6 linked regions of the Bombyx mori genome follow. The protein of the gene in region 6 interacts with the protein of the main gene of each other region in a pairwise test. Links are inferred from orthologs where the notes say so. Each region holds a gene or a part of one and is shown on either strand. Other genes may lie near its edges. The genes, in order: bystin; leukocyte receptor cluster member 1 homolog; exosome complex component RRP46; histone acetyltransferase Tip60; methyltransferase-like protein 17, mitochondrial; STIP.

Region 1 (5,201 bases), on a different chromosome or scaffold from region 6:
AATGCTATATCAGGATCAAAATGATTGAGTCTTGGGGGTATCTTTGTTATCCAATTTCAAGCTATGCAATTAGTATTCCAGTTTAAGCAAAAAAAGCAAAAATAGGTGCTTTCCCTATTTACCCGGCAATTGCGATTAATGGAGACGAAATTAGTATTAATAGAGAAATTTGCTAGGGCTGGCAGTTCTTGGTTTTAATTTATTTATTTATTTAGTTGCACCAACAAAGTGTTCATCAATAAAAAACATTGAAAAACCTGACAAAAGTACATGGCAGATGTCACCTCAATTATAGGTGCAATCGACAGTGCATTGACAACAAAAATAAAAAAGAATGTATAAGTAAAACTTGATTACATTTAATTACTTATGATTAATTTTACTTGGGAAATTTATCAGTGACAGATTTTTCTTGTAAGTTGTGAGACAATTAGAAAATATGTATTTCATCACCTAAAATTAGTTCAGCGCAATCGAACAACTCCGAATGAACATTGACGGACACCGCGCTACCGTGCACATGAATGTAGTCCCAAATGATTCTGTTTAAGGGAGAGTAAGCACCTGGTCTAAATTCGAGCGGGCGGGCTTTCTTATAAACGGTTTATATTACTTCGTTCTTGGTAAGTACTTAGGGGCTGATATTTTTATCTGGGTTAAGAGATTAGGTTATTCCATGGATTAATCAGGTGGACCCCCACTATGACAAATATTAATATATTTTATTATGTATTACTTCGACATTTTTCTCCACTTTGAGATTTCATTGTTCTTGTTACATGTCTGTGCAAAGCCGAGTTACTTATGTTAAATTGCTTAGCTATTTCAACCAAAGACTTATTCCCAATTTCATAGGCTTATAATGCTGTTTTTAATATTAAGGGATCATTTATCTTATAAGGCTTTGCACTTTTTTATACGTACACGCGAGGCATATTTAAAAATAGAAAACAATACGTAACTGATTTGCCAAACAATAAAATAACACTGCATTGATAATTTTGAATAAAAGTTCTAGACAAAAACATCATGAATAAACCAGATTCTTACCAACATTTAAAAAATATTGTTATAACTACATAGACAACCCTACACGCCTGTACCTATTTATACTTAGGTCGTTCCCATTTAACTTATTCTCATCCCAATTGCCCATCTCGTTGTTATTTGTACCTCAGACGTCCCCAAAAACAACAGATTTTTACATGTTTTTTTATATTATCAAAAAACATTAAAACCAATAACAGTTGAGACTTACTTTTAATACAATATGATGGTTCAAACACTAAATAACGTTTATAAATCACAGTTGTCTTTTATTATTATCAAATAAATAAAAGAGAGTAAAGTCTAGCACTAAAATAATTACCACAACAAGAAGAATAAGATAGCAGCTATTATCATGCATATTCAGAGTTGTTTTGTGAACTTTTATTACACTACAAAAAATGGAAGATTTTGCAACGATTAAAAAACTAATATTGAGCGTCGAAAGATTTTCCTGCTTTTCCCCATTCACCTCTCAAACCCCAATAACCCCATTTTTCGGTATATCAAATTTCAAGTTAATCCGACGTTTTGAAGGGGGTCAAAATCATGTTCAAAGATTCCGTTACAAACTATCTTTTATTAGCTTCAGACGTATGTAACGTCTGAAGCTAATAAAAGCGTATTAAAAAAAAGGGGTGCGTGTACTTATGTACGCGCGTAAGAAGTTATACTTTATTTTTATGATTATTATTTTATTTTATTAATAGCTACGTCAGTCGTATTGTAGTGAGCGATTTAGTGAGCAACTTCATTCTGTTAATTTTGTGTCACGGTGCGCGCGCCTAAAGAAGTATAACTTCAAAAAACGTATGTATGAATTTTTTATTTGGCTACAGCGTGTATTATTAGGTTTTTTTAGGTATAGTAATTTATAGATGATCATAGTATCTCTGTAGGTATTTTGGACGCCCGCCATTATTTTCTAACTTTATGGTTAGTTTTTTGTCTTTTATGCTTTAAATTTAAATCATAGTTTTTCAAAATTTTCAGTAATGTAAAACTTTCAATATAAAGCCGTGGATTTTATATAATCCTCAGTAAAATTAGTGACAAACAAAAGATTAGGCTGTCTAGGCTATGTAGGTTGTATAGGCTATGTTCCCTTAACTCGAAGACATTGACAATGTCATTACAGCTGCAAAAATTTATGACATTTTCTAACTAAAAAAACAACAGCACATGGTAAATCTTTGATAACGTTTACAATTTATGTTCCGCAGGAACGGTTTTTGTATGTAGTATTAAGAAAACTGTGGTGTTTGTTAAAAGTTTCCTTACTGACCATTTAGTTGAAACTAATATGGGTAAAGTTAAAAAGTTGAAGCCCTCACAAGTGGGAAAAAATTTAGCTCTTGCTGATCAAATTGAATCTGGAAATTCAGTCAAAATTAAAAATAGGACCAAAGATAGAAATAGGCACGATGAAGACGATGAGGTAAATTATGCATACTACTTTAAATTATTTCTGTAATCTATTTAAGTATAATGTTTTATTTATTTATTTTGTTATTGCTTAGATTGTTGGACATGTCACTGCCCGCCTGGTGTTAAGTGGTTACCGGAGCCCATAGACACAACGTAAATGCCGCCACTCACCTTGAGACATGAGCTTTAAGGTCTCACTTTTAACAGTACAAAGGCTGCCCTGCCCTTCAATCAAAACGCATTACTGCTTCACGGCAGAAATAGGCCGGGTGGTAATGTAGGCATTAGGAATCAAAAATAGGCAGATGGCAGATTCTTCTTCTTCTTCTTCTCCATCGCTCCCTCATTGCTGAGGATCGTGACTCCGTTTTAGCTTGTCTACTGTTAGCCTCCATCGGTTCCGGTCAGTTGCCTGGTGTAGTGCAGCGCTAAGTGGTCCGCTGGTTTGCTCGGAGATCTGGTTGGACCAACGTTTGGGGCTCCGGCCTCTAGGACGTTTTCCTTCTACTTTCCCAGTGACCATCAGACGTTCCAAGTTGTCTACACCTCTGCGGGCAACGTGCAGATGGCAGATAATGTCCACAATAATCGATTTTATATATTTTTTCAGTTTGTAAAAGCAGATTTGTCTAAAAAAATTTTAAAAACTGCTAGAAGGCAACAAGCTGAACTAGAAGACAATGAGATTGGTCCGTCTCCAGCAAAACATGTCACTCTTGTGTCAAGCTTTAAAGGTAAAACATTCTTTTTTTTTATGTTGATAGAATTACTGGTGGCCTGGAGGCCTTTCCAGTTTCACCAGGACAGGTGGGTGAGCAAAGGCTCAACCAGGAGGGGTGGGATTTGCTAACAGCTGCCCAAGCCCCTCCAAAGGAGACCTAACAACTCAAGAGCAACTGCTTCGCGAATGAATCTACAACCGGATTGGAATCGCGACCCGCTGAGAAGATCCGGCGAGAAACTCAGCAGGCTGATGCATGGCTTAGGTTGGACGTCGACTTCTTTGTTGAATTTGACGAGTACAGTTACCAGGGTCGCTTAGCCTGTTCCTAGTGTTAGAGCTGAAGGCATCTAATGCTAAGGTTATTGGATCTGATGGATCCGTAAGGACGTGTGTAAAACATTCTATGACAGTGTACATGTACAGTAGAAGTAAACAAATAGTGAACAGTCATTTTTGTTATAATGCAATTAATTTCTCAAATGTACCTTGTGAATGAACTGAAATTATTTTCAACTGCAATTTAGATTTGATAGTTAGTAATTCCACTTGTTGAAAAATAACTAAAGATATTATTTGTTAGATAAAGGATCAGATAGTTCAGATTCAGAGAAGGATGACTTGGAACCTGACACATACTATGATAACATTGAAATCAACGAAGCAGATGAAGAAGCACTCAAATTGTTCAAATCATCTAAAACAGAAAGAGTTAGAACTCTAGCTGATATTATAAAAGAAAAAATTACTGACAAACACACAGAACTACAGACTCAGTTCTCAGATGCAGAAACTTTAAAATTGCAGAATATTGATCCAAGGTAAGTGAGATTGATAAAATTTTTGATCAAAATGAAGTATTACAATCTTTGTATATAAATTTTGAATTTCAGAATAAAAACCATGTATGAGGGCGTAAGGGATGTACTCCAGAAATATAGATCAGGCAAATTACCGAAAGCTTTCAAAATGGTGCCACATTTGCAGAATTGGGAGCAAATTTTATACTTAACAGAGCCTACTACTTGGTCAGCAGCTGCTATGTATCAGGTTAACAATAAGAAAATACTAATAACAATAAATTTAGTAGTTGAATAATACTTAAATGTCTGGCGTTAATGAATGATATTCGGAAAATCATAGCTTTAATCAGAATTGAAGGCTTTATTTAATGTTATCACATTATTCATTATGATTATTGGTTTGCAGGCAACTAGAATTTTTGCATCAAATCTTAAGGAGAAGATGGCTCAGAGGTTTTATAATTTAGTTTTACTACCACGTGTCAGAGATGACCTTGCTGAATACAAAAGGTTGAATTTCCACTTGTACCAAGCATTGAGGAAGGCCTTGTTCAAACCTGGTGCTTTTATGAAGGGAATTTTACTACCGTTATGTGAGGTAAGATGCCAAGTTTGGGATTAAAATTAATATAAAAGTGATGTGTTTTGTACAACACACTGTAAAGGAGTGAGTCACAATCAAAATTTTAAACAAATAACTTTTATTTTTATTCTCTTGTCTTCTCATCTCAATCACATAGTTAGGCCCAAGCCAAACAACCATTGATAGGAAGGTATGCTTGGTATTTGTTGAGTAATTTTTTCTGTTATTTTTAATGGTCCTATTATGTGATTCATATTGCATTTGATTGTTGTTCATTTTGAAGAAATTTCCTGACTTATCCGCAATTGTTTAGGTTTGCTGCCTTTTGTGATAGGTAGTAGGATCATTATGTTAATTGATTGATAAAGCTGTAATTTGATATCACTCCTGTTGTTGCCAATCCTGTGGAAACTAATGTTACTCTTTGGATAAGCCAGAAATGCTTGTGCAACTTCTTATTTCAGTTGTGCATATTTGGACAAGTATTCAACTATTTATGACCGTGCATTCCATGAATGGATATTGCAAATAATATTTCAGTTTAGGTTTTTTTACTAGTGTAATAATATCTTGTTGATAACAGTATATTGTTAAGTCTGACAAAATAGGTCTATCAAAG
Region 2 (5,153 bases), on a different chromosome or scaffold from region 6:
ATACTTTATTTTAGGGTTAAATATACATTTAATGTACTTTATTTTCTACATAAAAAAGTAATCTTTTTTGGTTCCAACTATTGATACTTTCTAAATTAATTTTATTTTCAATATTAAATAAAGAAGAGGAAATGTCATCCACTGTGTTACAGCATTGATCTAGGAAAAATCGTAAAGTGTTTACAGTTTACATCGTATGTGGATCTTGTGGCTCGTCATTTAAATCTTCGTCTATAGACGAATATGATATATAGATATGAATATGATATATAGATATATCATCGCTCTCAGCACCACGGTATATTTATTCTTCTGTTAACGTGTCCTAACGTACAGTGAACCACGTTCATTTAAAATAACTCATGGATATAGGTAAGATTGAAGTTACAAAGGTCGTCGTGGTTACAACTTTGAGTTACGGAGGTACGATTCCCAAATTATTCGTTAAGTTTTAGAGGTTTCGTATTTTAAGTAAAAGAGGTTTTGGACTCCGAGAGGAAGGGAATACAAAATTATATGAATTTATGGAGGTTGTTACGTCATCAAGGCAAGGTTCTACTGTACATTGTCATAAAATATGCACAAGGATGCGTATAGTATAGAAGAAAACTGATTTAAATAACCAAGTCATGCTATATATTTGTGATTAAACATTATCATATATATTTATTTATATTATGGTTATGTGTTGATTGCAATACTTTATTAAATAATATTTTAATTCATGACATTGATTTTAGTTTTGGTTAAACATGCTCAATTGTTTCAAACAGCAAAGACACTTGATACTTAGCACTTTATTACGATAGTGTTAATAACTTTTCTTGGTTCACTCCGAAATTATTATATTAAATTATTGTGTATGTGTAAGTAATTCTAACTTACACCATATTTTGTCTATTTCAATCCAGTTATTAGCAATGGTACAATTTATTTCTCAATATTATGGTTTTCATTTATAATTCTGTCTTGCCAATTCAGGGTTAAACTGAGAATTATATTTAGGAATAATATTCAGTTTATTTTTTCCATTGTTTTCTTCTGTTGAACTTTCACCAAACCCACCTAATTTTTTTAGAAATAATTCTGTTCTACACCTTTCCTGCTGTTCTCTCTTAAGGCGAGCTTCTCTTAGTTTTTGTAGTTTCATTTTTGGGCACTTTTCGTCATTACGATTTTTGTTTTTCTTATGTACCTTTGTATTTGGTTCGTTACTTTGAAGTTTGTAACTTTTGTTTCTTTTTATGTGATTCATGGGATCTAGTCGTTGCTTCTGTTTCCAAGCGAATTCTCCATTTTTAATCTCCACACAATTTGTTTTTGGTTTTCCATCTTCATCTTTCAAAACTAGCTTATTATAGGTATCTTTTATGTCATTGGTGCGTGAATATCTAGAAGCCTCTGGTGGAACATCATACCAATTTTTCTTTTTTAAAGCTTCATTTGTATCTTGTCCAAGATAAGTTAAATAGCCAATTTGTTTTTCATATTCTTCTTGTTTGGCCTTTACCTCTTTATCATGTTCTTTGTTTGTTGTTTTAATAGCATCTTCAAGATTTGCAAATAAGTTGACATGTTCATTTATAATTTCACTTTTTCCTACATTTGTTTGTGGGATTCCTGATTTGAGTAATCTCTCTTTGCTTTTTTGCTTTAGTATATTGAGCCTTGACTCTTTATCTGCAGTTTCTGTTCTTATTCTTTCTTGTTTTTCCTTCTCTGCAGCTTCTGCTTCATCCTTTCTAACCCTTGCAATATTTTCCTTAGTCCGAACATGCCACCTACAGAGTAAAGATAAAGTCAAATAGTGTGGATATAGGGATATAGAACTCTATATTAATAAGTCCCTTGGGCCACTAAGATCAAAATCATTCATATTTTCAAAATAGTTTTAATCATTCATTCTCACATTTTACTAATTAATTATCTATATTATTTTAACTTCATTAAAATTATATTTCCTAATCATATTTTTAAAACGTATAATGTAATAAGCTGTTTATTTACTGGCACAGACTGGAGAGTGAGGACATGGGTCTCCTGGTGTTAAGTGGCTAGCGGAGAGCACAGACATCACAATGTGAGTTTCATTTTGTACTTTCATTCGGGCTCACATATTTATTTTTTACCAGTAAATAGACAAATTATAAGGTTTTGCAGATTTGGTTTTTAATTGCATGATGTTATTTATTTATTCGTAAACACGTGGAAAGTACATCTATTAGAAAAATTGGTACATGCACAGGATTGCTGTAGTTGGGCAGATGAAACGCCTATAGTGTCATATAGAGTTTATGTCTGTTTTGATCAAATTTAACTTTAACTTAAACCCATTTTAGCTTATTTAGACACTAGTGCTTCTTCAGATTTATGTTTTAATAAGCTTTCCTATCGATATAGACCAGTATATCATCCAACACAGTGCTATTAGAATTACTCAATGCATGCATGTCCTCAGTAGTTGGCATACGAGAAGAAAACGAGAAGCTGAGTAAGGTACACAGACGAAGATTGGTAATCTATCCGATCGTAATGTCGCTTGTTCTACTTATAATGACAAGGTTTGAGCAACTAATAATACTCTCTTTGTCGAAATGTTTCAACTTACCTTTTTTTTGGCAAGATATTCATTATTTTCAATTAAACTTTCGAAATTTAGAATAAATTCAGGTTCTAATTTTAATTGAAATCTGTAACTATAGTGTATTTTCTAGGACTGACGCACGTAGTGGCCACCTACACCTACTCTTTTGGACGTTCTGTTCTGTTCAGAGTTCTGTTTACAAAATCAAAATATTGAGTAGGTACGGTACTGTACAGTAACTGTACGTACCATGACATGGGGTAAATTGGGACAAACCTGCTGAAGATTCTCAAAGTACCTGTAGCACGGAATCTACCTAATTTTGTTTATGTTAATATTTATCAATGTATAGAAGAAAAACCAAGTTAACTATGGAAGTACTAAATATGAGTTAAGTTGGTCCCAAGAATTCGTCAAATTAAATTGAAAATAGTGGTTGAAAAGTGCGTTTTAAAACAGCTTACAGAACTTTTAAAAAAAGTAATATTATCGTTGTTTTTTCAATAAGATCACAGTTTATATAAGTTTTTAATACACCTGGAAATACCACAACAAACGGTAAGTTGCAATATTCTTATTTTAAATACAATATTTCGACAAAATAAAAAATGTATAATTTTTCCTTTCTTTTTGGGGAAAATTGGGACGTATGTAGGGTAATTTGGAACGAGACTGGAAAAATTAGGGACGAGAAAACACAAAATTGGAACGCCAAAAGACAAAATAGGGATGGATTGTTAGGGTTGTCACTGATATCTTATAATAGATTTTTTAGCCTATACTATCACTCAATTGCGTGATGTAAAGAAGGTTAATGTGTTTATCAGTTAGTTTATGTAAGTACTATAGGTAAAAGAAAAGTATATATATAATTACATTTTTTCGCGACATTTACCTTGTAATATCTGCCTGGTCGTATGTCCTTTATAGCAATAAAATAAAATTAAAAATTAAAAAGAACTCAAACGAATCAAAACTTTTGTTATTTCAGAATCTATTCAGGCGTCGAATCATGATTTTTTTAACATTCACAACGCACATACAAATAAAAACAGGCCTCAGATTTTAAATGTAACATTAATTAAAAATCTGAGATATCTAGGTTCCAATTATGAGTGAGTGAATTAATTGAGTTTAGTTATTTAGCTTAGAAAGAATTTCTTTTATTTTTGTTATTATAGGCAGTAATCAGATAAATCTGCTTTTTTATCTTATTCACCTGATATCTTACTCTTGCTCAAAGATTATTTTGAAAATGTTGATTAAATAAAATTGTATTATTGCATTTCCAGTCCTTTTGTTTTCTATTTTTTATTCTATTTTATGATTTTGTTTCAGAGTTGTGATTTTTAAGAAATTAAATAATAATTTTCTAAAATATAACATGCACATACTTTTTTTGATCATTGTATTGTTGATTATCATTCACGTCACATCGCTTCGGAATAGAAACCAGCTTAATTTACACTATGTTGTGTATTGTGCTTAAATTATGGATTGTATTCATCATTTCGGTCCATATAAATAATTGTATGGCACCTACCTACCTACCTATATATCGCAGTACCGCGAACTGACAACCCTTACAAATATCCCAATTTAACCCTTACCCGTGTCAATTTACCCCGAATGCGGGGTAAATTGGGATGGCCATTATTTTTCCGATTATTTCTTTAAATTGAATAATTAAAATAATGTAACGGTTTTTATCACCTTTTTTTTTTTTTTTTTTTTTTCGGGCCGGGGGCCGAACCTCCTACGAGGTCCCCGCGCCTAGGGGGCGCGCGGGGTATGTGAGACTCAACGATCTGCAGGTGTTGAGAGCAGATCGCGGGCCCAAGGATTTTAGGGCCCACCCACTAAACGACTTCCCTGCACTCTTACACCCGACGTCCGATCTCCGTCCGGGGTCAGAACCCGTTCAGAGTAGGGGGGTTCCCGCGGTCAACACTACAACCAGACACGCGGCGCCACCCCGAGGACGCCCGACTGACGGGTCGTCGAGGCGATAGTCGACGACCAACGACGTCAGTCTCCGCGGTACGGCGGCCCTACCAGGCCGCCCGGGCGGTGCCGCTGGTGTTCCGGGATACCCCGCTGGGCCAGAACCAGCCTGCCGGGTCGGAACGCGATACACCGCCGACCGGGTTGCTCTTCAACAGTATGTTCGGCGACGACAGCGACGACGAAAATGCGGACCGCATCGCAGTCCGCAGCCGCCGACGCGCCGTCCCGTCCTCCTGGTGCCAGCGCGCTAGAGTGACGGTAGCGTGCGGCGCAGCCTCAACCCCCTTAGGTCGCCCCGTGACCATCACCGGGAGGAGACTGCCTCCTCATAGGGGCTGGAGCTGGACAAACGCCCTCCTCCGGCCCCCGGCCCGACGGCGGCGGCACGGCGCCGAGAGGGAAGAAGAGCTCTCCCTCTCCCGTTCCGCCGCCTCCTTCTGCGAGATGGTGGACTCGCAGAAGTCGAGCATCGCCTGCCAGGACTCGTCGCTGCCGAGCATCGTAGCCACGACGGTCGGAAGCGACAAGTCCGGTCCTATTTTTGCAACGAGGACGCGGCGCT
Region 3 (5,161 bases), on a different chromosome or scaffold from region 6:
TGTTCCCCTTTACAAGATCTAAAAAAAAGTCCGCGACAGCATATGTCTATATGTTATGGTTGGCTCACTAGGTATAACGTTTTTTATGCTAACCAAATTTGTTTTAAAATAAAGTACAGGGTGGCCCATAAGTCCTTTGAAAAGTAAAATTTGAATAAAACGAACAGGGCGCGCGTGAGCGGTGCAGGGGAAGCGGGGGGAGTAACTTCGGTTTCTGGGAATTTAGTCGCGATGGAGCGTTTTACCGGAGCGGACCGTGCGTTTTATGTGCGCGAGTTTTATAAAAACGACAATTCGGCAACCGTTGCGCGGCGTAAATTTCGAGAACACAAAGGTTTACACAACTTTGACGACACTCCAACTCTTCAAACGATTAAGAACTGGGTTGCTAAGTTCGAGGAGACCGGTTCGACGTTAGATAAACCGCGGTTGGGTCGCCCAAGGACGTCACGTACGGAACAAAACATAGACACAGTGACACAGTCTATTCGCGAAAATCCGACACAGTCAACTCGTAAGCGCGCCAGAGCATTAAACGTATCCAGGACATCGTTACAACGGATTTTGAAGAAAGATTTACATGCCAGGACGTGGTTTCAACAGGATGGGGCCACTTCTCACACCTCTAACACTGCTATGCCCGTTATCCGTCAACTTTTTCCTGGCAAAGTTATCTCTAAGAGAGGAGACATTTCCTGGCCTCCACGTAGTCGAGATCTGACCCCGATGGATTTTTTTTTGTGGGGCTACCTTAAGGCTAAAGTATACGACACAAACCCGCGGTCGATTGAGGCCCTAAAAGAAAACATCCGCAGAGAAATGACAAGCATTTCAGCAGTGACGTGCCGCGCAGTCATCGACAATTTTAGACGTCGTTTGCAAGAGTGCCGTGTTCGCAACGGATTACATTTAGGAGATGTTATTTTCAAAAAATAATTCCCGTTTTTTAAGCTTTTTATGTAAATAAAAATTTAATTCATAATGTAATTAGTTTTATTTTAATAATTTTTTTTTCATATCAAAGGACTTATGGGCCACCCTGTATTATTCGTGAACTATTCCACGCGGACGAAGTCGCGGGCAAAAGCTAGTACATATATAAATGAATTGCTGTTCGTTAGTCTCGCTAAAGCTCGATAACGGCTGGACCGATTTGGCTAATTTTGGTCTTGAATGATTCGTGGAAGTCCAGAGAAGGTTTGAAAGGTAAATAAATATGAAAATGCTCGGAACTAAATAAAAATAACAATTTTGTTTTTCCTTTGTTGTGTCCCGCGTCGGACGGATTCCTTTTGTTTGTTTTAAGTTTATTTTATACAAAAGTTTAGGTCTTTTATTTATCGATTGAGGCACTACGAAGTCTGCCGGGTCAGCTAGTTAATAATAAATTCACAATTTAATAATACATTGACATTTAATAATAAAAATAATTTGGCCACTATTAAATATGTAGCATATTGAAATCTGGTAACCACTTTACATCGGTTGAGCTCATCAAATGATCTGTGAAATTAACAGAAAACATTATCTATATCAATTAAAACAATTTTCGTTTTTTTTTTTCATTATTTTTGTTTACAAGCCTGAAGCATGTGTAGAAAGCTTGAGAGTGAAGAACTACCCCCACTTAAAAGCAATAGGCAGATCATAACTGCTCCATGCTAGAAGCAGATAGATCATTAATCACCAGTACTTCCAATACCACCAATCTTCATTTTTAGGAACAATTCCAATTCACCCTCGTTAAATACAAATCAGTACTCACACCACCATAATCTTCTAGTTCCTGTATAGTAACATTTATACCAGTTCTAGGATACAGAGAACCAAGTATTGCTGCTTCACATGTCTGTTTCACTATATTCTCTTTGTATCTGTAATAACATGTAATATGATTACAATTCAACAATCGACTGTAACACCTATTTCTTGAAAATATTCCACAATTTAACATCACTTACAGATGTTTCTTTGAGAAACCTTTCATGAAGCATCAACAGAGACTGGTGGAAGACTTATGGGGATCAACCTCAATCACTTTGTTAATGTCTACCCTAACAGAGTCGCAGTGCTTTGCTGAATCTACCATGTCAGAAAAGTGACTCACTTAGAAGATCAAGCAAGAATATCAATAAGTTGTGTATCTGCCATATTGAACTCTGTTGTATCTAGTAATGTTTAAACAATACATTCATTAATGACAACCAAATTTATGTTTTTTGTAGACATATGACCCTCCTAATGGTAAGTGGTTACATTCGCTCACGCCAACGTCAATGTTAGGGGCAAAGCCAAGCAGCTACATGCCATTATGTACTCTCAAAGAAGCCTCGTTTGAAGAAGGACATGTCATAACGCTTGGGAAACACCACAGAGGGTAGTTCATTCCAAAACCGAACGGTGGATTTCATCTATTATTATACAAATGACCACTGACAAGCAAATATTGTTATTAAATTAATTTCCAATAGCCATATAGCTCTAATACATTACCTGTTTTCCACGCTCGGTTTCCCATTCTTATTACTGAACAAAACCTCAAGAGTTGACTTATCTATTCGTTGACTGGTCATCTTTATATCTAAAGGTCCATTTACGCTCACCAATGATACAGTATCCCCTGTAAAAATATTTACAAGCTTTGATGAACGATTTTCTGTCCAAGAAGTTTTAATTAACATTGTTGTACTTTTTAAGACGATGAACTTTGAATGTTCGTAAAATCTTACTGTTCTACTTATTTTTTGTAAAAATACTAAATTATTATTTAACATGTTGTACCTAAATTAAGAGTTTCGGTAAAATGACCACAGCTAGATTATAGGGCATAAAACTGTTTTTACCTTGTGATAAAATAGCTGATCCATCAGATTTGCTCAGGAAGTTGAATTCACATTTCATAGGTTTTAATTTAAAATCCTGTACATCCTTCATATCAGTCACCATATTTAATTCGTTCAAATGTTTAAATATATCTTGAAGTAGTACAATGAAACTTGATTGCTAATTGGGTTTCTGATTTTCTAAAATTCAAAGATGATCTTTATTTATTTTAATAACAAGAAAAATATAGAAAACACATAGACCTATATAGTATATATACCTATATAGGTTTCCTACTTCATTGAGAAAACATGTGAGAATGACATTGACAGTAGTATTCGTTTGTTTTTTACAACCAGAAGGGCAAAGCTATTGAAACATACAGCCTAATCTTTTGTAAATTCTATTTTATGAAGACGATATGAAAATGAAATGAAATTAGGTTGATTAATTTCAAACATTAATTAATTGGAATTAAATTAAAACTAAGACTTATTAAGACTATTTCAGTGGACTGTTTGGAAGATCCCGAGGATCAACGTCCGGTGACTTTGTTTTATTTACCTAAATTTATGCACTTTCCCAGATACTAAACAGTTCATAAACATCCATTAGTACATGTTTAAACATGAAGAAACATTAAATTAACAAAATAAAACTATTCTCACAACTTTGCTACTCGCGTTCCCGCCAAAAAGTCCAAAATAGGAGTACATAATTATCTATTTAGGTACATTGTCCTTAGTCTGAGTTTTTTAAAGTTGAGTTGACACAACGCCCTTATCGGCAAGAGTAGGTTCCAACTCATCATAATCTTTCATCTTTAAAAACTGAATCATTATCCCAATTTAGTACTTTTTTCAGTGTGCTCAATATTTTAAGTTTTTTGAAAAAAAATCTCTATCTTCGAGATCTATATATTAATACGTGAAGCAAAAACTGTGTATCCCTTTTTACGAAAATTGCGCGGAAGGAGGAGTATGAAGTTTTCCACACTTATAGAGAATATAGAGAAGAAGTGCACAATGCTAATCTTTTTTAAAATAATGCATAAAAGATACATTAAATCAATAAAGAAAACATTACACACACTACATACCATGTATTTGACGCACACACGCATGCATATTATTTATTGTTAAACTTTTGTTCTTTTTGTTGTCAAATTGAGAATAGATTAAATATTGTTTGTCTTTGTTAATATTTTTTAAAGTGTAGTCTTGGCGAAATTTGTAAAGAAGTATAAAATACAATCATAATAGTGTACTAGTTTAAATAAATGACTCAACTTAACAAGAACAAACACAGGAGAAGTAGCGTTCTGCAGAAAAGCTTTACTAGCACTCTACGAGTTATTAACTTCCACCAGGAAGCCTGATTTTATTGAAGGGAGCTATGTTATGTGTTTACTGGAACAGTCATTACGAAAATCTTGTATTAGCTATTCAAACTCGCCCGATATTTCTTCCCGAGAAGGGTATTTTCATTTTTTTCTTACAACAAGGACTTAGCAGTAGTACAGATCTAAAGTACAAAGAAGAAACCGTTAAACATACTTGTAAATTACCACCAAAAAAGTTACGTTTATTTAATAGGCTTCATAATATATTCTAAAATTTGTGCACAATATTGTAGTTATTTATTGCTACTAGCTAAGGATAGCTCCTAAAAAAGGATTCCATTTCACTTTTCACGTCACAGAAAAATATGACTAAATTGTAGGTTTGGTGGTCGTTGTCTTTGCCAAAATATTCATAAAATATTAAAAGAACACAGATTCCATATGGCTGTCAAATTAATGTCACAATAAAGTTCGTAAAGCTAGCCGATCTATGGCTGTAATTATAGACACATCATATAATAATAAAATCCTTGTATTCCAATTCCAAAGTTTGGTTTTCTTAATTCCGTTTTTAATAGTGTAATTAACATTACGCAAAATGAAGACGAGATTCAATACATACGATATCATATGCATGATCACAGAACTGCAAAGGTAATTTGATTTAATCATATGATCACAGTTATATTAGTATGTTTAAAAAAATACTGCAATTTCATAATATGTCTAACGCTGTTAATGCAAGAAGATAGCTGTTTATCAAACTTATTTTTGACAAGGGTGCTCCTCAATAATTTTGTCAAAATATACCAATTAAATCATTAGGTGACAGTGGAAAACCCTCGCTAATAACTAAGGTTATTAATTCTTTTAAATTAAATTACAAACGAGTAGCTAGGGCTGATGAGGTATTTGAGGAGGGTTTGATGAATATCAATAATAGAATCTTAATATTATTTTCAGATTGATTGGAATGAGAGTAAACCAGGTTTATGA
Region 4 (5,195 bases), on a different chromosome or scaffold from region 6:
ACACCTGGTCTTCTTGAAGCCCACAGAGGTCAACAGTGAAAAACAGACTTCTCTATAAAATGCATAATATTTAAAACCGATAGCGATTAATTAACAAATATTTAAAGCCGATAGCGATTAATTAACAATGCATTTCACCTGGGGGTATGGCGCGAAGTACCAAGGTCGTATCCTGTGCCGTCCCAGTTCTATCATCTCGATGTTCTTCATCCGCGTGACGAGATCGTCGTGTCCGTGCGCGACCAGACTGCCGGACTGTCGCGGGCGCGCCGTCGGCGTCGCCGTGCCGCTGGCCGTCGCGTCCGCTTCACCTTCTTGTGACGGCTCCGAATGTAAACTGACCTATATGAGACAAACATTACCTCTGATAGTGTCGTGGCGTGCAACCTCTTTGACAGGACATAAGACCTACAACGACTAGACATAGACAAAGAAGTCGTCGTGGCCTAAAGGTTATAAGACGTCCGGTGCATTCGTGTTGAGCGATGCACCTGTGTTCGAATCCCGCAGGCGGGTACCAATTTTTCTGATGATAATTCGTACTCAACAAATGTTCACGATTGACTTCCACGATGGAGGAATAACATCGTGTAATAAAAGTGAAACCCGCAAAATTATAATTTGTAGGGTGGTGCAGCCATTGTAACTATACTGAGATCTTAGAACTTATATTTCAAGGTGGGTGGCGCATTTACGTTGTAGATGTCTATTGGCTTCAGTAACCACTTAACACCAGGTGGGCTGTGAGCTCGTCCACCCATCTAAGCAATAAATAAATAAAAAATATTAATATTGATATTTTACGTCATTATCCAAAGAGGGCGGTTTGCGTTTTCTGTTCATCTTTTTCTGTAAGGCTGCTGCGAGGACAGCTCCTCCATTGACCAGTGACGAAGAATCATTTACCAGAGTCGGACTGGCGGGTCGGGACACCAACTGTCTTGGTTCAACCACAGCTGTGCAGAAAACCGGGAATGTAGTATTTTAAATTAAGAGTGATTTGACACAATACTGCAGCATTTCACATTAATAGGGCTTCACGTCAATAGAATTACAATATTTCTTTCAATAAATAAACGCCAAAATTAAACAATTGCTTCATTATAATTGCTATTTTTAAAGTATAATCTGTCGTTTTTTACTGTAGTTATGAATAATTTACTGTTTTCTATGTCACGGATGACTCGTCATACACAGTTAAGACATTAAGGTATAAAAGTAGCCTTAATTATATTTACGACTGGCGAAAACCGAAGAAAATACTAAATTGCTTAGTTGTCACATTAATTGGTAATAATTACTAACATGATCATTATATGTTAATCAAATATTACCATGACAGAAAATATTCATATTCAATATATGGACTATGGTATTACTGGTTCTCACAACTGAGCTTCAAACGTGCTTATAAGGGAACAAGAAACTATTATTATTTCTAAGCTTACAACTTGATGGCTACTAAGCTGTTGACATGTTGAATAATATGTTGGTAACTAAACAATCATTTGGAATAACATCAATGATGCTCACATTATACATACCAGTAGCTACTACTGCTACTGTTTAAAAGTACAAAAAATAAATTTATTGTTTTAAGAATAAAAGCATGACATATCTACCTAAATAAAAGCATATTACACAAAATAAATTATTATGGTACATTACCAAGTGCATTTTTTTGTGCGGAACCATTGAGTGCATTGCTAAAATGGGCCTTTTCATGTGTTTTGGGTTGGGTCAGTTGATTTGTTATAGTTCTAGCATTACTAGACTTCTGATTCTCATTGCAGACTGTGTCATCTGCAGACAAAATTTTGTTTTTATTGCCAATTGGTTGATCATGGATGTTTGGTAACACAAACTAACCTACACTTGGCACGAGACATTGTACTGGGCAAAACAAAGAATCATACAGTAACAAAATAAAAGTACAAATATATTCTACTATATTAATTATAGCATTCAAGACAACATCAACTAAAGCTAGAATTATAACACATTAAAGTTTGGACTCTATTTGTTTTACTGCTTTTATCCAGTCCAACATGAACTGTCGGGTGGAGGAAAAATAGCAAGTAATAGTAGAGAGTAATAGTAGAGTAATATAAATCATGCAATTTATTACCAAATCCCATTCTTTATCTGTGAAGTTGAACTTTGAATTGTTTAAAATTAAGTGAAATGACCATAACAATTAATTAAGCTCTAAAAACAAAGACACATACTAATAAAAGTAGGCATAACGCCACCTCCTGATCCAATGAGTGTTTTCTTTGGAGTAGTTGTACCACCTGTTGCTGTTCCATCCCGTCGAGGGAATTGGACTTTACGAGTGTCCAACCAAGATTCACCCACCCATTCATCGAGACGTTTATTAACTGAAAAATTTTTTATGTTTAAGTCTAATTTCAAAAAAATTAAGCACTTCATGAAAAACAGGAGAAAATCTTTTTATTCTGTTAGTACATACGTATGCAAGCTTACAAGACACCCTATCACAAGTGTTCTTTGCTTTTTCTGCTACTAAATTGGATTTTAGTCCATTTACCACCCTTTGGTTTTTTAAATTAAGATCTCAATTAGACATGTGCCTTTGTAGAACATTTTTAAGTATCCTTTAAGTTCAATCTACTAGATTGTTTATCAATTACACATATGATAACAAGCTCACATTAGTTATAAATTTATAAAATGTCTCAACATAGGTAAGTAGCTTTATTTTAGAAATTTCCCATATATATAACAAAACTAAAGCTTATAGATATAGGTAATTAGCTGCTAATCTAGCATCACAGTCAATTTCTTATCAATGTTACACACAATTTTTCCAAAATGAATAACAAACATACCCGTTCATTATTTACTCACAATCAACATAATGCACGTAAAATCCTCTTTGGCCCTGAACTTCTTTAATACTTATAATTTCGGCGAGTGGCCAGTCGTCTCCTCCTTGCATACGAACAGGAAGACGGCATCCCTCAACAAGCGATGACTAAAACAAAAAGATGATAAATTAATCTCACGGTATTATATCACATATATATTCTAAATAAGCGGAAATCACCGTTGAATCACAAAATGTTGTCAATTCATCATCATTTTCGTTCATTTTAAAATAATAATATTATTTTTTCACAAAAATAGCTATTTGCTTTGAATGCTTAGCTGTCATTGCTGTCAATATCAAAGTAATCAGATTGCAGTCAATCTGACATTAAATAGGCAAAGGGAATATTATTCATAAGTGATTAGTCTAGTAGGTAACGAAAATTGAAATGTAATAAATATTGAGAGTTCAAGCGTCTACCGATTATGTATTATTTAGCGCTTACGTAAATCTGCAGATACCAATCATTGATATGTTTTTTTAGCTATTTCGTAATGCATATATGGGCGAATGTGCTCGTGAGTCACAGCTTACCTTGTCTCAAATAGTTACCGGAACACAAATATATAATAGCAATGTAAAAAGTGTAATGGAACGAAATGAAATTATATCAATTCACTAATTCCTTACTTTGCTTTGGATCATTTGTATCGCATTCGGCTCAAAAGGTTGAACTACTCATTGTGTAAAAGAAGTGATTCTGTTTTGCTGGTTTTGACCTAGCGGAGTATCTCGGGAGTATTAACGGCCCTATCCAAGCGGGAGGGATTAGAGAACCGCTGGTCGTCTTGACAAACGTCAAACTGATGAGCCGTGATGTGAGGCACCGAGAAGAGATGCGCCGTTGGGTTGTTGAGTAAAAGCAGGTTTTGTTAATTTCCTCGTGCGCTAAAACTGGATTACATGATTTTTTGAGAATCAAATCTTATTTGATTCTCAAAAAATCTTAATACACACGAATAAGATAGAAATTAAGCCATAGAGTAATGGAACCCTTCAATCGCGTGATCGAAGATCAGAGTGTCTCGAATGGCTTATAGATGTTGTCATTGGCGACATGGGCACGTGGAGAAAGTCTAGGCTTTCTACTAGGCAGTATTAAAACCCTAATAATTTTGTCTAGCAGTCTGTGGTGAACCCCGCTAGAGGAAATAATTACATTTGTAAACTTTTCGCGGGTTCCATTTAATTTTTTACACGTTGTCATTCTTTTAACGCAGAAGTTGCTTATGAACATGTGTTAGAAGCAAATTTTATTTTATTTTGTTCTGAAGATGTTGTCGAGAGCAACTTTGGATAAGTTATAGATAGACTTTTCGCTCCATTAACTCCTCGCTCCATAGACACCAATAACAAAAATCGTTTTTTTATGTTTGAGAAATAGCTGTTGGAAGTCTATCCAGTTTCACCAGGACACGTGGGCGAGCAAAGGTTCAGCCAGGAGAGGTGGGAATAAGCACGTTTAGCTGGGCTGTGAGCCGTAGCCCGTGGATTGGGTAGCCCTGTCGAGATCGTAGGCTAACTCAGTTAACTTCAAAGGAAAAACTAACCTTGTTTTATACACATTATTATTTAACGTGTTCTTACCAAGAATGAACATTTACCTAATGAGTTCCCGATAGGTATGTCCTGTTGCAAGCGCCTTGATCACGAGTAGACTGAAGACTGCGGGTAAAATGTTAGGAGCAGAACTGTCCACATTCTTTATAGTCTGTGTTTGGATCTACTGGAACTCAATGATCACCCTGACCAAATACCTTCATAACCACATGTACCGAGCGATAAATCCTTTAGACGATGAACTCAAAACTTTCATTTCATGTGAATCAAACACTTGAAAAATAAGTACCAGCTCAGTATCAGACTACTCTATTTTCTCTCTGTTACAGAGACAAATAATGATAGCCCGTAAATTCATATTCATTTAACTGCCTATGCTATCAGTTGACAGCATTTCATTGAATTGTAGGATGAAGTCTGTGGAGAAGGATACTGTCGATTCTTGTTGAGCTTTAGAAAAATGGCTTTGTTGCTCCATCCAAATGCTACTTTACAATGTAATATCTATGTATGTATTTTGCAGTCACGAAATTAGGCAATAACGTTGTACCACCATATTTAGGCTTGATCTATGCCGTCTCGAATAATGAAAGGAAAATTTTTGGAAAAACACATTAAGCAACGTGATTATGAATTTTTTTTCGGCATCAGAAGGTATGACGGAATAATAATTTTTTTAGGAGGATCCTCCTTTTTAGGAGGATCAGCTCTATTAGTTCTTTGAAAAGCTTATACGAAAGAC
Region 5 (4,249 bases), on a different chromosome or scaffold from region 6:
TGTAGTAATTAGCCTCCCTAACTTTGCGCCGAGGGTCGTGGGTTCGATTCCCGTGTCAGACAAGCATTCGTGTGATGAACAGGTTTGTTTACTCTTTGTGATTATCTATATATATGTATGTATGACAGTCAGTGTTACCAATAACATAGGAAATCTTAAATTAGGGCCGGATTTACACGATTTGTTCCCAGTTATTATTTATTAACGGTACTAAATTCAATATTTTCGTTAAAACGTTCTCTGCTTACAGTCATACATATATTTTGAGCCAGTACATCATAAAAACACCTTCCTGCTTATTTCTGCCGTGGATTAGTGTGGCACTCCTGCCTACGGGAGAGCTGTAATGCTTCAGTGTCTACGGGCTACCATAACAACTTAATACCAATTTCCATTATAATATGTACAGTTCATTCTATCTATCTCAATCTATCTGTAATACTTCTGCCTCCCATGATCTGTGATTTTCAAAAAAGGTAAATACACTCTGTACTATCTGCTGCAAGGTCAATTATCAAGCAAAATGTATAAATACCAGCTGTACCCGTCCGCTTCGCTGGGCATTTAAAATTAACATTATTATTTCTCACCCCCACAAAGATTCTCATCATTAACGCCCCCGCAACTGGTGTAGGGAGTCCAACACTCATATAACTATTAGCCTATCCATTAAGAACATGTATTTTCTACATGGATACCAAGTTTCAAGTCGATCGGATGCATGGTTCAGTAGTTATAACGGAACATCCGTAAAAACCACTGTAGATTTATATATTAGTATAGATTTTATCCTTCTGACTTCCATCGCATCAGATAAATGCATAATATAATGTAAAGTATTTATTAATACTGTGTACAAAGCTAGTGTGTTTGTAATTAAACTAAAAACATTAATCTATGTTGTAATTATTTATTTTATAGGTAAAAGATCTCCCCAATTAGCAGACCTAGCACATCTGTACATAGTCTGATCGTGCTTCCCTTTAGAAAATATAATTTCTTTTAACTCTCCTTGTGCTGTACACATCCGACAGATCGTGTGTCCGGACCTGACAATCGGAGCCCTTACAATCCTAGGCCACTGTGGATCGTCATTTGGTCGATCACCTTTCCTTAAAATAACATATGTGTACAAATCTGCTAAAACTTCAGACTTTGAATGGTAGCCTAGCGATTCGTACTTCATTAAGAAGTTACATGGAGTTTGATGGTCGAGGTATCTTGGACAAACACTGTCGTTTGGACACGGAGAGAATGCGTAACCTCTATTACTGCTGTCTTTTGGGAGATTCAAAATGAATTCTCTGGCTTCGTTTACAGCTCTGAATCCGGCATTTGTTCCGTGTTCGATGATTATTAGGAAATCTTCGGTCTTGTTCCATAGTTTTTGTATTGTTTCTAATCTTGATTTCATCGAGGGTAGTTCAAATAATGAGTACGCGGACAAAACTATATTGTACCTCAGATCTGTGGAAGCAGGTAGAAATTGACGCTGGTAATAACATTTATACGGTAATTCGACGTTGTCCTTGCCTTCACACAAAATTAAGCGTGCCAAATCGTGCATGTGAGCCGATGTATCGACACAAAAATATTCATAAATTTCTCCTTTCCAATATGTGTTCAGTGCCCATGTACCGGTTCCGACGCCGGAACCAAAGTCAAAAAAGCTTCGTGGCTTGTAATCTGGTAAAACCCTTCTGATCTCATCTAATACGCGAACCAAGACAGCGTATTCCGGGGCAGCCCTGGTCATCAAATATTGAAGACTAGTAGGTTTATCGTACGATATATTACCCCAACGGTACACGTTCGTTTTTAATATATTAAATACAGTATTCTGTACCTGTTTTTTCATGTTTTGCAACTCCTCCTGGCTCAATTCTTTGTTTATTTTAGAGAATGTCCGTTGTGAAATGCTGTCGTGAATTTGCGCGGCTTTCAAATTAATTTCCTTTTCTTCTGGCGGCAGTAGCCTAGACTGCAGATGGTTTTTGAGCTTAATGCTCTCCTGATGTAAAGATTTAGCTCGTGCATCGTCTAGGATTATTTTAATTGCCTTCCGAATATCCGCAGGTATTGATGCTATTTTTACACGATTGGTTCCTGGATGTTTCCGTGGCTTATAGATCTGCGCGTCAAAGCTTTCCTTTAAATTTGGATCTATTGAGACTTTGGTTGAGTAGTTGGCGCTTAAAGACGAAATATGTGAATATTTGAGTTTACGAAACATTTTTGTAACCTTAAAGTACTTTACGGATCATCACAACAAACCATAACAAAACGCATTCTGAAATATAATCTATGTAACTGTCAACAAACTGTCAAAACATAATGTTTTTCGATTCTTGAAAGTTAAAGCAAAAGGTTTCGATTTTCTGCCTATTAATTTTAAAAAGTATTAAATTAAAATAAAATTAACAGTATGTACATAAATTGAAATAAAACTATGTTTATTCGATCGTATCATGATTTAATGTTTATTTTTATTTATTTCTTCCTGTTTATGTTTGTTGATACAATCTCTGAAATTATTAACTGCGGTTTGACACTTTCTCCAGTCTTTCGTTTCGGCGATGCATTCCTAAAAATGTTCAAACAAACATTAATTACTTTGAATTATCTCTATATATAAAAATGAAGTGCTGTTCGTTAGTCTCGCTAAAACTCGAGAACGGCTGAACCGATTTGGCTAGTCTTGAATTATTTGTGGAAGTCCAGAGAAGGTTTAAAATGTAGATAAATGTGTTCCCCGTCGGTCTTTTATTTATCGATTGAGGCACTACGAAGTCTGCCGGGTCAGCAAGTAAAATATAAAAACAAACCTAGATATTATAACTTTCAAATGTGACTCAAAACACGTCGGTATATTAAATTAGCAGTGTATTGCATTTTTATATTTAATACAGTTAAATTAACTTACGTGAATCATTTTTAAAACAAACCTGCACTTTATAGTGTAGTTCCAGACAGCCAGTTTTTTTCAGCATGCCTTCCACGGGATCATCATCACTGCCGATCTGTTCTCGAGGTTTTATAGTCATATTTTCGTATGAAATACGTTTTAGTGGCAATATTAATTTCTTTTTGGTCTAACTGTAGCACAACAAGAACATAACCTTAAAACAAATCAGCTGAGAAGTTGACGTATTATATTGGAAATTTGAAACTATCATGCTGTTGGCGTATAATTACAAGTTACTTTTATATTCTGTTGCATTATAACTTGTATTCCGTTTCACGCATAGTAACAAAAAGCTTTGTCAATACAAAATGCTAAGGTTAAATGATTATAATAATCCATTATTCACGTAATGAACTAACACTCAGCTCATAGTGTCTACAATCACCCACAATATGACTCATGAGCAACATCTGTTGGTTGACGATCATAATTTGTCGCTATAATATTGAGAAAATGCCGCTGCCGAATATAAATAATATTTATTTTATTTATTTACAGTCTTTAATGCTGCCTGTTCCTTGGTTGAAACGCTCACGAGCAACCAAGATTTGCACGAGCGTTTTCATCATATTCTCCATTTCTAGAAGCATAACCAAAAACATTTGTTTTTCCAGCGTTTAAAGTTTTAACAAACAGTAATGACTAGTTCATCATCAGTAAGAATTAAAAGATATTATTAGAGTTAAAATAACAGATGCTTTAACAAAAATGTAGTATTACTGCGTGCGCTAAGAGATACAAACATCAGAAAAACTTTATTTAACCTTACGTAAATTAAACGGCTGTCTGGAAGAGATCGCTTTTAACGATAAAACTGCCTATTGTACAAATGTATCTGCTTTACAATTGTTTAACCAGCCTACTGAGTTTCTCGCCGGATCTTCTCAGTGGATCGCGTTTCCGATCCGGTGGCAGATTCTGCGAAGCACGACTCTTGCTAGGGTTCGTGTTAGCATCGTCGTCAGGTTTGAGCCCCGTGAGCTCACCTACTAGTTACGGTTAAGCTGGAATAGCCTCTCTAGGCTACCAGCTTAGGTTTAAAAAAAAACTGTTTTTTTTTAAATGTTAATTGTGTTTTGGTGTGCAATAAAATATATTCTCTCTCTGACCTTACCTTATTTTACTATAACTTTAAGTGCAGAAAGTGTCCGTCGACAGGGAGTAAATGAAGGTGGCGCCACAGTAGCAAGTGGAAAGGTTTTAAAAACGGCGCCTTAAACTATCACACTTCTTTTTATTTTTTTCCCTCCCTATTCGCCGGTAGCCTAAGAGGTTATCTCAGCT
Region 6 (5,054 bases):
ACGTCAGCGGCATCTCTGTAAAAATAACGACCCTTGTGCGATTTCTTCCAGTTGTAATTCTTTTCGGTTTTATCTTTATCCTGATCTTCTTTATCTTTGATGCGACGTTCCTCTTCTTTTTTGGCTTTTATCTGTATTAAAGAAAAAGAGACATACGAATTGAGAAGTGAAGACTTTTTTTTTCCTACCTAAGCTGATGGATCTAGAGAGACCATGTTAGCTCACGGGACTCAAACCTGACGATGTTACTAACATGAACCCTAGCAAGAGCAGCGCTTTGCAGAATCTACCACCGGATCGGAAACGCGACCCACTGAGAAGATCCAGCGAGAAACTCAGCGGGCTGTCTGTGGGTTAATTTACTCGCTCAGCTCTTAGTCGCAAGCGACGGGTTCGACAAGGACGGTGACCGGTGCTTGTGGTACCTAAAAGCACCGTTAATGGGTTTTTTTTCTTCTATATGCTAAATACCAGTGATTAATAATTTTGGCACCGCCCTAATATAGACTACGGGGCAGTCAACGGATGCTCTCAGTGGATCGCGTTTCCGATCCGGTGGTAGATTCTGCGAAGCACTGGCACTGCTCTTGCTAGGCCCAGTGTTAGCAACACTCCGGTTTGAGCCCCGTGAGCTCATCTACACGTTAGGGTGAAGCTGAAATAGCCTCTCAAGCCTATCAGCATAGGTAGGAAAAAAAATTGCAAGTTTTAAGTTGCGATCCGTACAACTGCAAATACATTTTTTTTGTATTCATTAAACTCTAATGACGTGCATTGTGAAACTCACCGTTGCCTTTTCTGGTCCGTAAGCTCCGATCGCACCTCTGCCTTTGCGCAGCGTAGCCTCGACCGGCGCTGAGATACCTTGCAAATCTTTACCCAAACCTTTACCCGGTTGGTATCCCATCTGTAAGAAAGAAATTATATTAATCAAAACTCACGTATTTCCAAAAATGTGGAACGTTTATTAAATTAATGAATTATAAAAATTCGTAAGAGTGAGAAGGCTAGATGCAAATGAGGGCTAAGAACTAATTATATAAATTATCGGCCGCTTCCTGCTGGGCGTAGTTGAAATAGCCCCTTAGGCTGGGTTTACGGCATTGTTCTGCACGTTTATTTGCAGTATACGTCTTAACGAATGAATAGCGGCACATACGTTGTATATAGAACCATTCGAATGTCGTTTGTACTGCAAAAAATCGTATACCGCTTATGCGTTTTAACGAATACTCAACGGACTTGTCAAACAATACGAATGAACTTTAACGTTGCAGTGGCTTATAGCTCATTCATTCAGGATCAAAGAGCAATAGCTAATTAATTACCTGCAACAACAATTTTGCTCCGATTCCTTTAGTATGTTTTTCCCAATTTCCCACATTTCCACCTAATGATGGTGGACGCATTCCCTGTCCCTGTCTCCTGATTCCCGCCGTGTCACTCGCTACTGGAACCTCTGGTTCCTCATCAGAACTGTCTGAGTACTTAGGAGCAGAAGTAGACGCTTCAGCTGGTTTTATTTCTGTCAAATTATTAAAAATTACTTTTGTTGACATGAACTGATTCCACGACATGCATTTTTTTAGTATTGAAAATCACATAACATTAAAGAATGGTGGAGCCTTCAGTTTATGCTTCAATCATGAAGCAATGGAACAGCCAAGTCAAGTCGGAAGGTACCTTTTTGGCATTTTTTTTATTGCCCCTGTGGGCTAATGAGCATACGGCCCACCTGATGGTGAGTGGTTACCATCACCCATAGATTTCAGCAATGCCAAGGGCAGGACAAAACCGCTGCCTACTGTTAAGTACTCTCCAGAAGCCTTGTTTGAAGAAGGACATGTCATAGCGCTCAGGAAACAACGTGGAGGGTAGTCAGTATTGTACAACTGGAATAAAAATGTTGTCTCATATTTTTTGTATAGTTACAGTGTGGTCACTGATAACTTGGTTATAAAAGTGATTTTATTTATGTCTACGGTTCATGAAGACTGATAAAATACCATACTTAAATCACTTTAAATGACTTTATTAAGTTTTCAAATTGAAAAATTAAGTGAATATGTATTTGTTACCTTTAGTCTTGTCTTTTTTTTTGCCAGCCTGTTGAACTCCACCCGCCACGAAACCAATTGGTGCAGAAAAATCTTTAGGTTTACGTATTCTCTGTCTAACATTATCTTCATTTTCATCATCATCACTGTCTTTGGCCCATACACCTATAAGTTAATTATATTATTGCTTTTGTTACAATTAGCTATTCTCATTTAAAACAATGCATGAAAGCTTCATAGATTTTTAATTAATTTTTTTTCTAATTTTAATCAAGTCAATAAGATATTTGTGGTGTAAATGAACTCTCAGTCGTCATAATCCCAGAAACATTTAGACATTGGAACATATGAGTTTAAATGGTTAATTGAACACGTTATTAGATTTCATACTTATAAACAACTAACACATTTTCCCTCCCTGATCGCTGGTATCCTAAGGGGCTATTTTAGCTACGCTTTGATGGTTTTAAAATAAGAATGTTTACTGTTTTAAGTATGTTTTAGATGTGAGACTTAATTATGGAAGTGCTTATCAAACAAAAACTAGAAACTATATCATAAGTGATCTGCTTAGAATATTTTATAATGCTATCTTCTTTCAAGTGAGAGATCAAAACAGCTGCCTACTTGTTTCTTAAATTAGTTAAATTTTTTCATGCACAATATCAAATTTTTATTCAAACTCATGCACACATTCATGATAAAACAGTAATTTACTAGTTTATTATAATAAACTATAATGATCATGGTATATTTTGTTTATTATCATGGGCGGACAGAGCATGTTTCTTGAAATTACATACAAATCTAATGGGAATTATTTACGGAATTGAAAAAAATTTGGTACGTTGAAGCTCTACCATTTGATGCTTTATAAAATACGAAACTTATAATAACTCATTTTATAAACTTTAGAATTTTTATAATTATCATAGCTATCACACAACAATGTTTTGAATGTAGTGGCACCACCTAGAATATTCTGGAGTTTTAATTAGATTGTTTGTATTTAAACGTAACTTACCGTATATTTGTTGTTCCTTGTTAGCTTTTCTTCCACGGCCGGGGTTGAATTCATTATCCAAATCGTAGTCTGTGATCTCAAACTTTATAACCTCATCGTCTGACATTTTACTGTTACGTATAAATTAAGCTTAACCAAAATAACTCATCATTAATTACGCTGTTACAAATAAAAATCGTAACTGACTGATTTGCTGGTTATAAATATTGTTAATTATTTTGTTTGGTTATAAACAACTTTATGGTGACACTTGACAGTCTTGACACTAATGATTAGCTTAGCATTTTTAGAGATGTTGAATTAGAACTGTGGTTAATTTTCATAGCTTAGTCGATTTTATCGTACTGAATTTTTTTAAGCTTATTTCTTTTTGTTTAAACACCAACTATAAGTTCACAGGTGACTTTTAAGAGGAGTCACAACAAAAAGAAAGATCAATTAATCCCGAAAATCTTCAAAAATTTTTAATTACAGATGACATAGGATCCTTTAAACCGATCATCTTGGCTATTTCTACCGCAAATCAATGATATATTTTGAACAGACCATAGAGTAAGATTATATATAACCTAAGAACAGATACACTACATTTTGAAAGATACACAAGTCGGGTAGAATTACTGGTTGGTTCAACTCAAACCACCCCATCAGTAGTCAAACATCAACAACTAATGCTAACAAGGCGACCAAATCCAAGCGAAAGCAGGTAAATTGCGGTCTGGTACTTTATTATTCCAACTCTTAGAGCTTAAGCACACAGCGTATTTTTTATGAGCAGAGGACGCGCAGATGACTCGCGTATACGCACTTCGAGATTCGAACGCAACCTTGTAACCTAAGCACACGGGGCCATTGTGAAACGCGCTTCCACTGCACAAATACGCGCAACCATATAAACGTGCTATAGTCGCTCGTAGCTTCCGTGTGTTAATCAGAGATTCCCTGAATCCAGTTGAACAATGGAGTCGGTTGAGACATTGCCTACGTTGTATTTGGTAATACTTTTAAGAAAAAATAGGCGAATCTGGAAATGGAATTGGATTGGCTCCTCCTACTCCCTTTTGAACGTGCATTTGTATTGTGTCAAAGGCGCGTAAACGAGCTTCATACGTACGTTTGTACTATTAGTGCAAACGCAACAAACAGCATCTACGGCGCGGCGCCGAAAACGCGCGTTCTAAAGCGCGCATCGTCTGCGCCTTCAAAATACACTGTATGATTAGGGCCTTAAATAAAACAATGTTACCACTGTTGACAATAATTTATTTCCTAAATTTCCAATTCAGGTATAAAACGTTACAAATTACAATTGTGCTTCACAGTCCCATTTATTTAGAATAATTTTGTGCCTTTGCCAATTTTACTTATTTTAACAAAACTAAAATTCACGTTGTTTTAATTACATTAAAATTCATAACCATGATAGAAATTATCGAAGTCAATTTTTAGTTAGCCAATCGACATGTATAATGATGTCTTAATAATTTTCAATTACATTAAAGGACGAATAAGTTACAGGAGTTATTTACTTACGTATTATATATTAGGACGGAAAAGGACGTATCCATTTTCATTAGGACATGTGATAGCACTTCATAATAAGAGTTTCACCATTTGCAGTAAAATCTGTTAAAATATCCACCAGCATCAATGCTGGCCTATATGATATCTACACCTTAAAACGCCCTGAATGTGAAGTTTTGGAGGCGAATAATCCGCCAGCTTAGCACTAAATTTATTTAAAAATTTTGTTGTTATGTCGGGTAAACATCAATTATATATAATATACATTTTTATATAAATCATCTGCTATATAAAATTGCTGTGTTCATAAACTTATGCGAACTTAATGAATCAAATAAAATTTCCATAACTCAACGATTCATATATGTATCAATGAAAGTCCACAGACAAACCCATAGAACTAAATTTTAATATTTGAACAGGCTCTTGAACGCTTGGATATTTCTTAC

Evidence for each region.
Region 1: the proteins of STIP (region 6) and bystin interact in binary tests that used the Homo sapiens proteins (3 or more experiments, as listed by UniProt). The link is inferred for Bombyx mori from reciprocal best matches to the Homo sapiens genes TFIP11 and BYSL.
Region 2: the proteins of STIP (region 6) and leukocyte receptor cluster member 1 homolog interact in binary tests that used the Homo sapiens proteins (3 or more experiments, as listed by UniProt). The link is inferred for Bombyx mori from reciprocal best matches to the Homo sapiens genes TFIP11 and LENG1.
Region 3: the proteins of STIP (region 6) and exosome complex component RRP46 interact in binary tests that used the Homo sapiens proteins (3 or more experiments, as listed by UniProt). The link is inferred for Bombyx mori from reciprocal best matches to the Homo sapiens genes TFIP11 and EXOSC5.
Region 4: the proteins of STIP (region 6) and histone acetyltransferase Tip60 interact in binary tests that used the Homo sapiens proteins (3 or more experiments, as listed by UniProt). The link is inferred for Bombyx mori from reciprocal best matches to the Homo sapiens genes TFIP11 and KAT5.
Region 5: the proteins of STIP (region 6) and methyltransferase-like protein 17, mitochondrial interact in binary tests that used the Homo sapiens proteins (3 or more experiments, as listed by UniProt). The link is inferred for Bombyx mori from reciprocal best matches to the Homo sapiens genes TFIP11 and METTL17.

Annotation. Positions count from the first base shown.
Region 1 is NC_085121.1:8,923,588-8,928,788, forward strand, and holds the start of bystin, read left to right. Parts: upstream 1-2,174; 5' UTR 2,175-2,350; coding exon 2,351-2,485; intron 2,486-3,085; coding exon 3,086-3,209; intron 3,210-3,779; coding exon 3,780-4,017; intron 4,018-4,089; coding exon 4,090-4,246; intron 4,247-4,405; coding exon 4,406-4,597; intron 4,598-5,201. UniProt on the Homo sapiens protein: Required for processing of 20S pre-rRNA precursor and biogenesis of 40S ribosomal subunits. May be required for trophinin-dependent regulation of cell adhesion during implantation of human embryos.
Region 2 is NC_085117.1:11,772,703-11,777,855, forward strand, and holds leukocyte receptor cluster member 1 homolog, read right to left. Parts: upstream 3,403-5,153; 5' UTR 2,632-3,402; coding exon 2,609-2,631; intron 1,782-2,608; coding exon 953-1,781; 3' UTR 614-952; downstream 1-613.
Region 3 is NC_085131.1:1,263,344-1,268,504, reverse strand, and holds the start of exosome complex component RRP46, read right to left. Parts: upstream 3,142-5,161; 5' UTR 3,104-3,141; intron 3,098-3,103; exon of another isoform or gene 3,024-3,097; 5' UTR 2,947-3,023; coding exon 2,844-2,946; intron 2,621-2,843; coding exon 2,494-2,620; intron 1,875-2,493; coding exon 1,766-1,874; intron 1-1,765. Other genes in the region: ribosome quality control complex subunit NEMF homolog, read left to right, coding at 4,764-4,819, 5,129-5,161. UniProt on the Homo sapiens protein: Non-catalytic component of the RNA exosome complex which has 3'->5' exoribonuclease activity and participates in a multitude of cellular RNA processing and degradation events.
Region 4 is NC_085124.1:9,216,773-9,221,967, reverse strand, and holds the start of histone acetyltransferase Tip60, read right to left. Parts: upstream 3,204-5,195; 5' UTR 3,116-3,203; coding exon 3,071-3,115; intron 2,999-3,070; coding exon 2,872-2,998; intron 2,382-2,871; coding exon 2,229-2,381; intron 1,804-2,228; coding exon 1,669-1,803; intron 957-1,668; coding exon 805-956; intron 343-804; coding exon 139-342; intron 1-138. UniProt on the Homo sapiens protein: Catalytic subunit of the NuA4 histone acetyltransferase complex, a multiprotein complex involved in transcriptional activation of select genes principally by acetylation of nucleosomal histones H2A and H4.
Region 5 is NC_085130.1:17,554,145-17,558,393, forward strand, and holds methyltransferase-like protein 17, mitochondrial, read right to left. Parts: upstream 2,319-4,249; 5' UTR 2,234-2,318; coding exon 911-2,233; 3' UTR 895-910; downstream 1-894. Other genes in the region: cytochrome c oxidase assembly factor 4 homolog, mitochondrial, read right to left, coding at 2,474-2,584, 2,946-3,044. UniProt on the Homo sapiens protein: Mitochondrial ribosome (mitoribosome) assembly factor. Binds at the interface of the head and body domains of the mitochondrial small ribosomal subunit (mt-SSU), occluding the mRNA channel and preventing compaction of the head domain towards the body.
Region 6 is NC_085113.1:9,625,438-9,630,491, reverse strand, and holds the start of STIP (septin and tuftelin interacting protein), read right to left. Parts: upstream 3,240-5,054; 5' UTR 3,188-3,239; coding exon 3,082-3,187; intron 2,223-3,081; coding exon 2,079-2,222; intron 1,547-2,078; coding exon 1,329-1,546; intron 908-1,328; coding exon 788-907; intron 132-787; coding exon 1-131. UniProt on the Homo sapiens protein: Involved in pre-mRNA splicing, specifically in spliceosome disassembly during late-stage splicing events. Intron turnover seems to proceed through reactions in two lariat-intron associated complexes termed Intron Large (IL) and Intron Small (IS).